Oryctolagus cuniculus: one gene and its partners. The protein of the gene in region 1 interacts with the protein of each later gene in a biochemical or structural test. Links are inferred from orthologs where the notes say so. Each region holds a gene or a part of one and is shown in the gene's direction. Other genes may lie near its edges. The genes, in order: CTSB, CSTB and CSTA.

Region 1 (3,644 bases):
CCCAGTCGGCACGAGGGCCGGCACTCCGGGGCCTGTGCGCGTTTTGTCGAGAACGGTGCACGCGTCTTACTTTCTCTCAGATTTCTCCTCCCCTAGGTCATGATCACACAGTTTCAGATCTCTCACTGGGGAAAAGTCTCAACCTTTGTTCTGCAGATCTGAAAATAGAGCAGGCCCTGGACTCAGTGTAGCTGCAGCACAGCCCAGGGCTTTCCCGCTCCTGGCTCCGGCACACCCGGCACAGACAGGGCTTTGCACGTGGCTCTGTGCACCAGGCACAGTTAGGGACTTTGCGTGGCCATGAGGCTGGGAGCCCATGGACATCCCTGGTCCTTGAGGGTTCTCTGCTCTTCAGTCACCTAGGGGGGAACGGGCAGGGGCGGGGCCAGGACAGGTGTGCGCCAAGACTGCGCCCTATGATCAGAGCAAGGGAGCCCAGTGGGGGAGAAGCAGCCTGATGTTTGCTGTTCCATCTTTGGCAGGTGCATCAAGGATCTGTCTTCCAGAATGTGGCGACTCCTATCCCCTCTCTGCTGCCTGCTGGCACTGACCAGTGCCTGGAGCGACTCCCATCTGCACCCGCTGTCGGATGAGCTGGTCAACTTCATCAACAAGCAGAACACGACGTGGCAGGTGGGCCGGGGGCTGCTCCCAGCCTGGGTCCGCTCCGCGGGTTTATCTGCACACGGATCCCCAGGAAAGAGACGCCTGCTGTGGCCACAGGACTATGTCCTGGGCAGTTGAAGCTCGGGACCGGGCCCTTGACCTCCCATCCTGAGCACTGTGTGTTGGGGGGCGTGTGTGTGTGCGTGTGCACGTGTGGGAGTAAGCAAGCCTCAGGAGTGTCCACAGCCAGGGAGGTCCCGTGCTGCTTCATCGGTACCAGCCCCTGTGTTCGGGGTTGGGAGGTTCTGTCTTCTTGCCAGCAAATGGTGGCGATGAGAGGTCCGAGGGTCACTCCAGCCATCCCCCAGCTGTGCAGGACCCCTGGCCTTCCCACGCCGGCTTTCAGAGGAGGCAGCACCCATCTGCTGCTGGGTGACTGAGAGGGTGGCTCTCTTCCAGGCCGGGCACAACTTCTTCAACGTGGAGGTGAGCTACCTCAAGAAGCTGTGCGGCACCTTCCTGGGAGGGCCCAAGCTGCCCCGCAGGTGAGTGCCCTGGGAGAGCCCCGGGGAGGGAAGCAGGAGAGGGAGAAGGCCCCCAGGCCTCGATGGCCCCCAGGGCTGCAGAGGCCATGTGAAGTAAGGGCTGCCCTGGGAAGCTGGATTGGCCCAGAGCAGAGCCCGGGGGGGGGGGGGGGGGGGCAGGTGTGACAGGGAGGTCCAGGTCTGCTGGAACTCAACCTTGGAAAATTTAAGGCGAAACCTAAGAAAAGCTACGTGATCTCCCGTTAATGCTTTTTTTCTAGCAAACTGCAGTGCACATTTTCACACAGATGCTACTCTTGAACAAGCATCAGGCGTCTCCCCAAGGCCGGGGTAGTTGAGTGAGGGGAGACCACACCGTCATCTGATGGTGGTACTTATGGTGATATATCAGGGACCTGGGCAGCTGTTTATGCCTGGGAGCAGGGGAAACAGGAAACCCTGTGTCTGAGACCCTTGAAACTCCCAGGTAGTAAGTCTAGAAGGAAGCAGACAATGCAGAGAGAGAGGTCTTCCATCCGCTGGTTCATTCCCCAGTTGGCCTCAATGGCCAGAGCTGCACTGATCCGAAGCCAGGAGCCAGGAGCCAGGAGCTTCTTCTGGGTCTCCCTCATGGGTGCCGGGGCCCAAGGACTTGGGCCATCCTCCACTGTTTCCCCAGGCCATAGCAGAGAGCTGGATCAGAAGAGGAGCAGCTGGGACTAGAACCGGCGTCCATATGGGATGCCTGCGCTTCAGGCCAGGGCTTTAACCTGCTGCGCCACAACGCCGGCCCCAGCCAGCTGCTCTTAAGCCAGGCAGCCTCTGCAGGGAGGCAGGGCACGAGCTATGAGATGAGGGCTTCTGATAAAGACCTTTCCTTCCCCAGAGTTGAGTTCGCTGATGACATAAAACTGCCTGAGAGCTTCGACGCGCGGGAACAGTGGCCGAACTGTCCAACCATCAAGGAGATCAGAGACCAGGGGTCCTGCGGCTCTTGCTGGGTAAGCCCCTGATGCCTGGGGCGGGCGTCGGGCACAGGGGGCGGGGTCAGTGATCCCGGGGTTAGGATCAGACCAGCCTGTGACAAGGCCAGCATGTAAGCTTTCAGCATCTCCGTTTCCATCCATTAAAAAAAATCATCAGGTGCCTCTGGTTGGTTGTGAGTTCTCGCCAGGATTAGGTGGTACGACGGATGGGCGAAGCATGCTGCACACCAGCAGTCCCGAGCGCCTGGGTTGTGTAGCTGGTTTCCTTGCTGTCACACGCTGGCTGGCCTGTCAGCAAGTACCAGTGCCTCTGACCGCTGCTCCGCTCCGTGAAAGTGCCCCATCTGTGCAACGCGCTATCTTGATTTTGTTTAATTGTGGCACGGGGTGGCCAAATGTAGCCATCAGAACCATTTGTTAAATGCACAGTCCGGTGGCCTTAAGTGCCTTTCCAGTGTTTTTTTTTTCTTTTTTTTTTTTTTAAGATTTATTTATTTATTTGAAAGGCAGAGTTACACAGAGGCAGTGGCAGAGACACAGAGAGAGAGAGGTCTTCCATCTGCTGGTTCACTCCCCAAATATGGCTGCAATGGCTAGAGATGGGCTGATCCAAAGCCAGGAGCCAGGAGCTTCTTCCGGGTCTCCCATGCAAGTGAAGGGGCCCAAGGACCTGGACCATCTTCCACTGTTTTCCCAGACTATTAGCAGAGAGCTGGATTGGAAGTGGGGCAGCCGGGACTCAAATCGGCACCCATATGGGATGCCGGCACTGCGGACGGCGGCTTTACCTGCTGCACCACAGCGCTGGCCCCAGCCTGCCCAGTGTTGAGTAACCATCTCCATGCCCAGCGACCCCTGCTCCCCAGGTCCCGGCAGGCCCCACTGTGGTTCCTGTTTCTGTGAGTTTGACAATGCCAGGGCTTCCTCTAAGTGAAAGCACATGGTGCTGGCCTTCTGCGTGAGCTGTGTTTTACGTTGGACACACAAGCTACTGTCTCGGAAACGAATGGAATTCCCTAGCGGAGGTTTAAGGTGGTCTCCTACGGTACAGCTGAGTCGGAGCCCACCTGCTCATCGGCAGATATACCAAGAGATGGGCCCCCCAAGAAGGTCTGCAGCCCCCCCAGGTGACAGCTGGAGCTGGCCACCGGCCAGGGAGGCGGCCTCCTCAGCCCATGGCGCTTGTTCCTACAGGCTTTCGGGGCCGTGGAAGCCATCTCCGACCGGATCTGCATCCACACCAACGGGCACGTGAATGTGGAGGTGTCGGCGGAGGACATGCTCACCTGCTGCGGCGGCCAGTGTGGAGACGGGTGAGTCCGCGGCGGGGCGCATAGGGTGCCTGGTGCAGGGAAGCGGTGCTCCGTCGAGTCAGAAGGCATGGGAGAGCCGGCAGGGCTCCCAGAGTCCTAGCGAAACTGGGTCTCATAACCTCGCTGAAGGCTCTGGGCCCGGTGCCCCTGTCTCCTGGCCGTGCTCTGGGGAGCAGCTAGAACTTCTCACAGTGGCTCTGACTAGAGCTGCACAC
Region 2 (3,744 bases), on another chromosome or scaffold:
GGACCAGAAAAGGCAGCAGAGCAGCCTCACTTTCTCCTTGCTCACCACTTTTTATGACCCTTCCCTCCCTGGAGTCACCGCCTGGCTGCGCCCAGCAGGTGCCGGAAGGCCACCTGTCCACACCCACCCTGACTCCCAGGAGGGCCAGGGAGCCCAGGACAGGGGCTGGGAAAGGCCTCAGGCACGGGATGGGGGGATTCTAGCAAGACCCCACCCCTGCCCGGACAGGGTTGGGGCCCCTCCCTCCCCCTGCAGCCAGCACCGGAACCCCGCCCCTCTGCGGGCCCACTCAGCCCTTCCCTGTATCGCCATCACCCACCGATGTCCACTGCAGCCCAGCTCTCCCAGGTCGGCCGGGGTCCCCATGCCAGAACCCCTCAACGGGGCCCGAAGGTCCAGGCCTCGCTAGATCGCCTCACCCAGGGTCCTGCTGGCTGGGCCCACCCACCACCGCAGCCGGGACCCTCCAGGCTCCCCCATGCCCAGCCCACTCTCACTGGGACCGGACCTGCCACCGCCCCCGGCAGGGCCCGCCCCTCCCCGCAGAGCGAAGAACCTGTGCCCGCAGAGTTTCCCACACTCGTACAGGAGCCAGGACCCCCACCCACCCGACCCCGGCCAGGCCGCAGCGTCACGCCTCCTGGGCGGGGCACCTCGGGAAATCACGCCCCCACCCTCTCCTCGTGACTCGGCCGCCGGGCTCAGGGCGACACCAACCCGGCGTGGGGGGGACGCTCCCTGCCGGATACCCCGCCCCAACTCCAGAGCCAGAACCCGCGGCAGAGGGCACGGCCAAGTTCTCCTCCCGCACCGGGTCTCGGCCCTGGCTCCGGCTCGGCCCGGCCGGCGCGGCTGCGACTGGGGGCGCCGGGACCGCGCGGCGGCCGCACTCCCCCGAGCCGCGCCGTGGTTCGGCCCGCGCGTCACGTGACCGCCGCGCCCCGCGGGCGGGAGGGGCCGCAGGTATACTTGGCGGTGCGGCTCGGCTCGCTGTCAGCGTCGCCACGATGATGTGCGGAGCGCCTTCCCCCGCGCAGCCCGCCACCGCCGAGACCCAGGACATCGCCGACCAGGTGAGCCGCGAGGACGCGCGTGTCCGGGCTTCGAGGGGCAGGCCTCGGAGCCGCCGCGCCTGTGTAGACGGAGCAGGGGTCGACTCGGATCCCGTGGCCGGCCGGCCCCAGCCTCCTCGAGCCAGCCGGGAGAGGGACCCCAGACCCACTCGCTCCCGGGCCCTGCCCCTCGCGGGCGGCGGAGGTGGGGCCGCCCAGGTGACCACAGGGCCGGGCGGTGCGTCGGCGCCCCGGCCTCTGACTATGGGGAGTCTGCCCCGATTCGCGGGCCCCGGCCACGGCCCGGAAGCCCTGCCTCCCTCCCCTGCCTCTCTCCCCGCGAGTGTGGGGTCGGTTCTTCCTGCGCTGGGAGTGGGCAGCTGCCGGTCCCCTAGGAGGAGCCGCTGGCCTGTGGTCGCGGGGCGGCAGGTGCAGCTGTGAGGTCCTCTGGCTGGGGGTGCCCTGGGTGAGCCCTCTTTGCTGCTCCCGGGGTATCAGTTCCAAGCCGGGGTCCCTGAGCCTGACCCGGCACCCGGACTGCTCACCTGCGCTTCCTGGACAAAGTCCGGCCGGGAGCCGCCCTCCACACGAGTGACCAGCCCTGGCATTTTCGGCCCCTGCAAGTCCTTCCTTCCCACGTCGTTTGCAAACTCCAGCGTGGGCGGGGAGGCAGTGGCCACCCTCCCACCCCGAGGGCTGGCCACTGGCCTGTGGGTCCCACAGGTGCAGCACAGCTCCTGTGTGGAGAGGGAGGCGGGCTCTGGCCCCGTGCAGCAAGAAGCCAGCATGAGGACAGGGCCTTCTCCCACCCCCAGCTCTCCAGCCATCCTGCCCCGGCGTGCTGTCCCCAGCGAGGGTGAGGCACTGCAGGGGACCGTGCCTGGGATCAGATTGCCCTGGCCACTCCTGGCCTGCTACACCGGCCTCCGTGTTTCTGGTGCAGCGTGCTCCCTGGGGCCCGCTCTCCGCCGTGTCTGGTTTTTCCCGTGGACACCGCTAATCCCCTGGGACCACTGTGTGTCGCTGGACAGCTCACGTGGCCGAGGCCCCCAGTTGAGCTGGACAAGCAGCATCGGACTGCAGGTTTAAGTCTAAAGGAAAAGCAAAGCTGGACTCCCTCTTCCCACCCCGGTCACCAGGCTCACCTGCGAAGGCCGACCCTGGGAGCCAGGGCTGAACCGCGCGGGACTCCGATGTCGCCCCCGAGGCGAGGGCTGTGGGCTAGAGATCATCTCAGTGCAGATACAGTGCGTTTTTAGAAAGATTGGTTTGCTTATTTGAAAGGCACAGTTAGAGAATCTTCCATGGATGGTTCACTCCCCAAATGGTTGCGACGGCTGGAGCTGCACTGATCCGAAGCCAGGAGCCTTTCCCGGGTCTCCCATGCGGGCGCAGGGGCCCAGGCACTGGGCCATCATCCACTGCTCTCCCAGGCCACAGCAGAGAGCTGGATCAGGAGTGGAGCAGCCGGGACTCGAACTGGCGCCCATATGGGATGCTGGCACTCAGGTGCTGGCTTTACCCGCTCTGCCACAGCGCTGCCTTACCTGTTACTGCAGGTTACCCCAGCTGGACGCACACAGCCAGGGAATGGTTACGAGAACTAAGGGGGGCTGCTTCCCGGTGCAGCAGCTTGAACGGCTGCCTGTGGTGCTGGCCTCCTCATGAGCTTGGGTTCGAGTCCCGGCTGCTCCACTTCTGATCCAGCTCCCTGCTGATGCAGGGACTTGGCCGTTGGGGTCAAGTCCTTGAGCCCCTGCACCCACATGGGAGACCTGGATGGAGCTCCAGACTCCTGGCTTCCACCGGGCCCAGCCCCAGCGCTTGTGGCCATTTGGGGAGTGAACCAGCAGATGGAAGACCTCTCTCTTCCTCTCTATGACTGTGCTTTTCAAATAAACTTAAAAAAGAAAAAAAAGCCAAAACAAGGTAATGTGTGAAGTGGAAGATTAAGTCCGAGATGACATTAGAATAACGTAGAAGGCGGTGTACGTGGTGAGTGTGACAGGCTTCGCGGCCAGCTGTCCGCAGTGAGCAGTGCCGTAGCCTCTGCAGTCCCTCCGGGGGCGGAATGGGCCGTCCACTCGCGGGCGTGCGGTCCCACGGAGGGGGCCGCTGAGCCCTCCCCACGCTCCCTCCCCAGGTGAAAGCCCAGCTGGAAGAGAAGGAAAATTGCAAGTTCGACGTCTTTAAGGCCATGTCGTTCAAGAGCCAGGTGGTCGCAGGGACCAACTACTTCATCAAGGTGGGTGTGGGCCGGGAGGGCAGGCCAGGAGCGGGTGCGGGCCGCGAGGGCTGGCCAGGAGCGGGTGTGGGCCGGGAGGGCTGGCCAGGAGAGGGTGCGGGCCCTGGGGTGTGGCCCTGTGGCCAGGGCAGAGGTGTTGAATGGGGGCTCATGTGGCTGCCCAGCCCAAGGGTGCTTGCCCCCAAGTCTAGTGTCAGAGTGGGTGTGGCAGGAGTGAGTGTGGGGTGTGTAGGGACTTTGCACTGGAAGGCAGACGCAGCGGCTGCACCCAGCCCAGCTGCCAGGGCCTGACAAACCTTCGTGTGGGCGCGGGCACATGGGGGCGTGGGCCAGACGGCTCCTGGGGGCGCGGGCGCGTGGGTATTGTGTGCCGAGCGGCTCCTGCAGGCTCGGCGCGTGAGTTCGTGGGCCGGGCGGCTCCTGGGGGCATGGGGGCATGGGCTGGGC
Region 3 (3,744 bases), on another chromosome or scaffold:
AGCTGGGAACTGGAATGGGAAGTGAACCCAGGAGTCTAGCCCAGGCACTCCCAATGTGGGATGCAGGTGTCCCAAGCAGCATCTTAACTGCTCTGTGTTGGTGGCATTTAAAATGGCTCAACCCTATTGGAAATTGTTTGGCAATGTCTAACAATGTTAAACACACACCTTCCCTAAGTCCCAGAATTTCTATCCCCAGATATATGGCCAAGAGCAACGACTTCACAGTGGTTTTATTCAAAATCACCTAAAACAAACAAAACATCCAATGCTCCCAACAGGATGCTAAATAATCAAACATGCTATATTCATACACAAGAATACTACATAACAAAAAGAACAGGGTACTGATAAATCTAACAACACGGATGAATCTCAAACATTATTCTGAGTAAATGAAACCAAACCACAACCTGATTCCACTTATAGGAAGTATAAAAACAGGCAAAACTAGTGGTTGAGTGGATGGCACTGGATGAGAAGGGGCATGAGGGAATTTTCTGGAATGATGGAGACATTTACAACTGATTGCATGGGTGGACAACTGCAAAAATGAGGCACTAAGCTGATCACCTAAAAGTTGCGCATTTTACCACACATAAACTATACTTCAATTTTTTAAAAGGAAGGAAAAGAATTCCCCTTGGAATCCCAAAACATGCGTAACCCAAGGGGGAACCCAGGAACGCCCAGCCAATCAGAAGTGGTTGGAGCCACCTGCTCCTCCACCGCCCCCACGGGCTGGCTCTGCTCCCGGGGCTCACCCTCAGGGCTTCCAGTACGCGTTCTGCTCCACGTCAGTCCAGGCAGGGAACGCTGACAGAGCGCATCAAGCCCCTCCTCACCAAGCATCCCCGTAGGCCCAGAATTCAGAGACTTCTGCCAAATTCCTGCAGCTGTGGGGTCACAGGGCCGGGTCTCATCATGGAGTCCAGCCTGGCCCTCCTACCACCTTCCCGGCTGCAAGTCTCTCCGCCCTCTGAAGGCAAAACAAACACTTTGCTTTTGCCAAGCCAGAAAGCCAGCAGACACCCTGGTCACGGGGTTTCAGTTTCCAACCCGCAGGGGCCTGATGAGAAAATTCTCGGAGAGCGCCCTCTACAGGAATTCTGGGAAACGCAGGCTTTCCTCTTCCCCCCAGCCGGTTTGTGCGAGGCCGGGCCAACGTGGTGGGAGTGCAGGACAGAGGCAGAGCCCCCGGGGCCACCTGCTCTTTCCTCTTCCCCGTTTCCTCTGACCTCCGGCCGCCGGGGGAACTCTGAGAAACCTTCAGCGCCTCTCCAGGTACGTTTGAAAACCTCTGCGGGAATGTGGGGGTGGAGGGATTGTATAAAACTGGAGTCCAGGGGTCTTGTGTATAGAAACTGGCTGGAGCAGAGATCCTAGTCCCAGGAGTGCCCCCGACCCCGGATGCCTACGAGTGGCCACAGGCAGCCACCCACCAACCACCTCGCAAGCTCTTGTGTGTATTTCTAACATGCAGACACCCCTGGAGAGCGGCTGGCACACCTGCACGCCCCTTACTCTCCACGGAGCCCTCCTTGCCTTCCTCCTCCTCTTCTTCAAAAGTCACCGCGCAGGCCTGGGCCTGATCAGACACCCGTTGGTCACAGCTCTGATACTGGAGCCCTCAGTCCACACCTGCCCCAGCCCCTCTTCAGAGGCTGGCTCCTCTGTCCCCTGCAGGACCCTGGTCTGCTCTGAGGATGACCGGGAGGGCCTGAGCTTTGTAATCCTCCTGGCTCCTGGCTTTGGCCTGACCCAGCCCCAGCCATTGCAGCCATCTGGGGAGTGAACCAGTGGATGGAAGATCTCTCTGTGTCTGCCTCTACCTCTGTCTATCTCTGCCTTTAAAATAAAAATAAAATAAATCTTAAAAAAAAAACTTGTTTGGGAACGTTTATAACAGCATTACTTTAATAACCAAAAACTGAAAACAACCCAAATGTTCATCAGCAGGTGAAAAAATACACTGGGGTATACTGATACCACTTGAACAAAATCCTACTCAACAATAGTATTAATACTTGCAACAATATAGACGAACCTCAAAACTGTCAGGTGAAAGAAGCCACACACAAAGAGAGGCCACACTGTTTGATGCCATTCATATAAAGAACACGGAGCGAAGCGGGCACCTGGGCTGGCAGTTAAGACACCAGTTAACACCTGTGTCCCGCATCAGCGTTCAAGTCCAGACTCTGGCTTCTGACTCCTCTTTCCTAACAGTGTAGACCCTGGCAGGCAGCAGGTGATGGCTCAAGTACTAGGGTCCCTGCCTCCCACGTGGGAGACCTGGACAGAGTTCCCAGCTCTCGGTTTCCAGCTACAGCTGTTGTGGGCATTTACAGAGTGAACCCCCGGAATGGAGTCATTCGCTCTCCCTCTGTGTGTGTGTGTGTGCCTCTCAAATGGTAAACTTTTTGATTAATGATAGTAAGTAGATTAGTGCTTCCTTGGGGAAGGAGGGTGTAGAGAAGCCCGGGCCAGGGCAGGGCAGGGGGAGTTGGCGATTACAACAAGGAGTGAAGAAACTTGGGAATGACTGTGGTATCTATGTATGTCTGCATTTACATATAAGTCAGGAGTTATGCAACTGAACATTTTAAATATATAATTTATTTTAAGTCAATTATACTGCAGTAAAGCTGTAATTCTTTTAAAAAAATTTGAGTAACAGAGAATCACAGAAGAGCTAAAAAGCTCCTCCAAGGCCCACCCCAAGTGCCTCTTCTCGGATTCTTTCTCCAGCTCTCCAGACAGAGTTGGTCCCAGTGCAGACACTTCCTGTGCTGTAATTAAAGGCATTTTTGAAGACTCATTTTATTTATTTGAAAGGTAGAGTGACAGAGGGTGGGAGGGACAAAGAGACAGAGATCTTCTGTCGACTGGTTTGCTCCTCAGATGGCCACAATGGCCAGCACTGGGCCAGGCCAAAGCCAGGAGCCAGAAGTTCTTCTGGGTCTCCCAAGTGGATGGTAGGGGCCCAAGCACTTTGACCATCCTTGGCTGCTTTCCCAGGTGCGTTAGCAGGGAGCTAGATTGGAAGGGAAGTAGCTGGGACTCGAACTGGCGCTCCAATCTGTGCTGTTGGCATCACAAATAGTGGCTTAACCTGCTGTGCCCCAACGCCAGCCCCAGGAGGCATTTTTCATGTGTTCCTCTTCCTCTCTGAGCAGATAGATCCATTGGAAAGCTGGTGGGCTAAGCAGTAAATAACCATAAGATTACCCAATTATGATTTTTCCTGGACAAGACAGCTGACTCACGAGTTAAAAGGGCTTTGGCCGGCACCGTGGCTCAATAGGCTAATCCTCCACCTTGCGGCGCCGGCACACCGGGTTCTAGTCCCAGTCGGGGCGCCGGATTCTGTCCCGGTTGCCCCTCTTCCAGGCCAGCTCTCTGCTGTGGCCAGGGAGTGCAGTGGAGGATGGCCCAAGTGCTTGGGCCCTGCACCCCATGGGAGACCAGGAGAAGCACCTGGCTCCTGCCATCGGATCAGCGCGGTGCGCCGGCTGCAGCGCACCGGCCGTGGTGGCCATTGGAGGGTGAACCAACGGCAAAGGAAGACCTTTCTCTCTGTCTCTCTCTCTCTCACTGTCCACTCTGCCTGTCAAAAAAAAAGGGGGGGGGGGCTTTGACGGCTGCCCTGGAGGTCACCACACAGCGGCATTTCAGAGGGTCTACACGACTGACTTGTAGGCAAACTTTGCTCACCAGTTGAGGCCAACCCAGATTTGAACA

The links.
Region 2: the proteins of CTSB (region 1) and CSTB form a complex in vitro, tested with the Homo sapiens proteins (2 studies listed by BioGRID). The link is inferred for Oryctolagus cuniculus from reciprocal best matches to the Homo sapiens genes CTSB and CSTB.
Region 3: the proteins of CTSB (region 1) and CSTA form a complex in vitro, tested with the Homo sapiens proteins (3 studies listed by BioGRID and IntAct, with this or other methods). The link is inferred for Oryctolagus cuniculus from reciprocal best matches to the Homo sapiens genes CTSB and CSTA.

What each region holds. Positions count from the first base shown.
Region 1 is NC_091433.1:42,699,552-42,703,195, forward strand, and holds part of CTSB (cathepsin B), read left to right. Parts: intron 1-482; 5' UTR 483-507; coding exon 508-633; intron 634-1,065; coding exon 1,066-1,151; intron 1,152-2,016; coding exon 2,017-2,131; intron 2,132-3,310; coding exon 3,311-3,429; intron 3,430-3,644. UniProt on the Homo sapiens protein: Thiol protease which is believed to participate in intracellular degradation and turnover of proteins. Cleaves matrix extracellular phosphoglycoprotein MEPE. Involved in the solubilization of cross-linked TG/thyroglobulin in the thyroid follicle lumen.
Region 2 is NC_091435.1:2,393,708-2,397,451, forward strand, and holds the start of CSTB (cystatin-B), read left to right. Parts: upstream 1-915; 5' UTR 916-1,007; coding exon 1,008-1,073; intron 1,074-3,195; coding exon 3,196-3,297; intron 3,298-3,744. UniProt on the Homo sapiens protein: This is an intracellular thiol proteinase inhibitor. Tightly binding reversible inhibitor of cathepsins L, H and B.
Region 3 is NC_091435.1:78,535,568-78,539,311, forward strand, and holds the start of CSTA (cystatin-A), read left to right. Parts: upstream 1-1,046; 5' UTR 1,047-1,284; intron 1,285-3,744. UniProt on the Homo sapiens protein: This is an intracellular thiol proteinase inhibitor. Has an important role in desmosome-mediated cell-cell adhesion in the lower levels of the epidermis.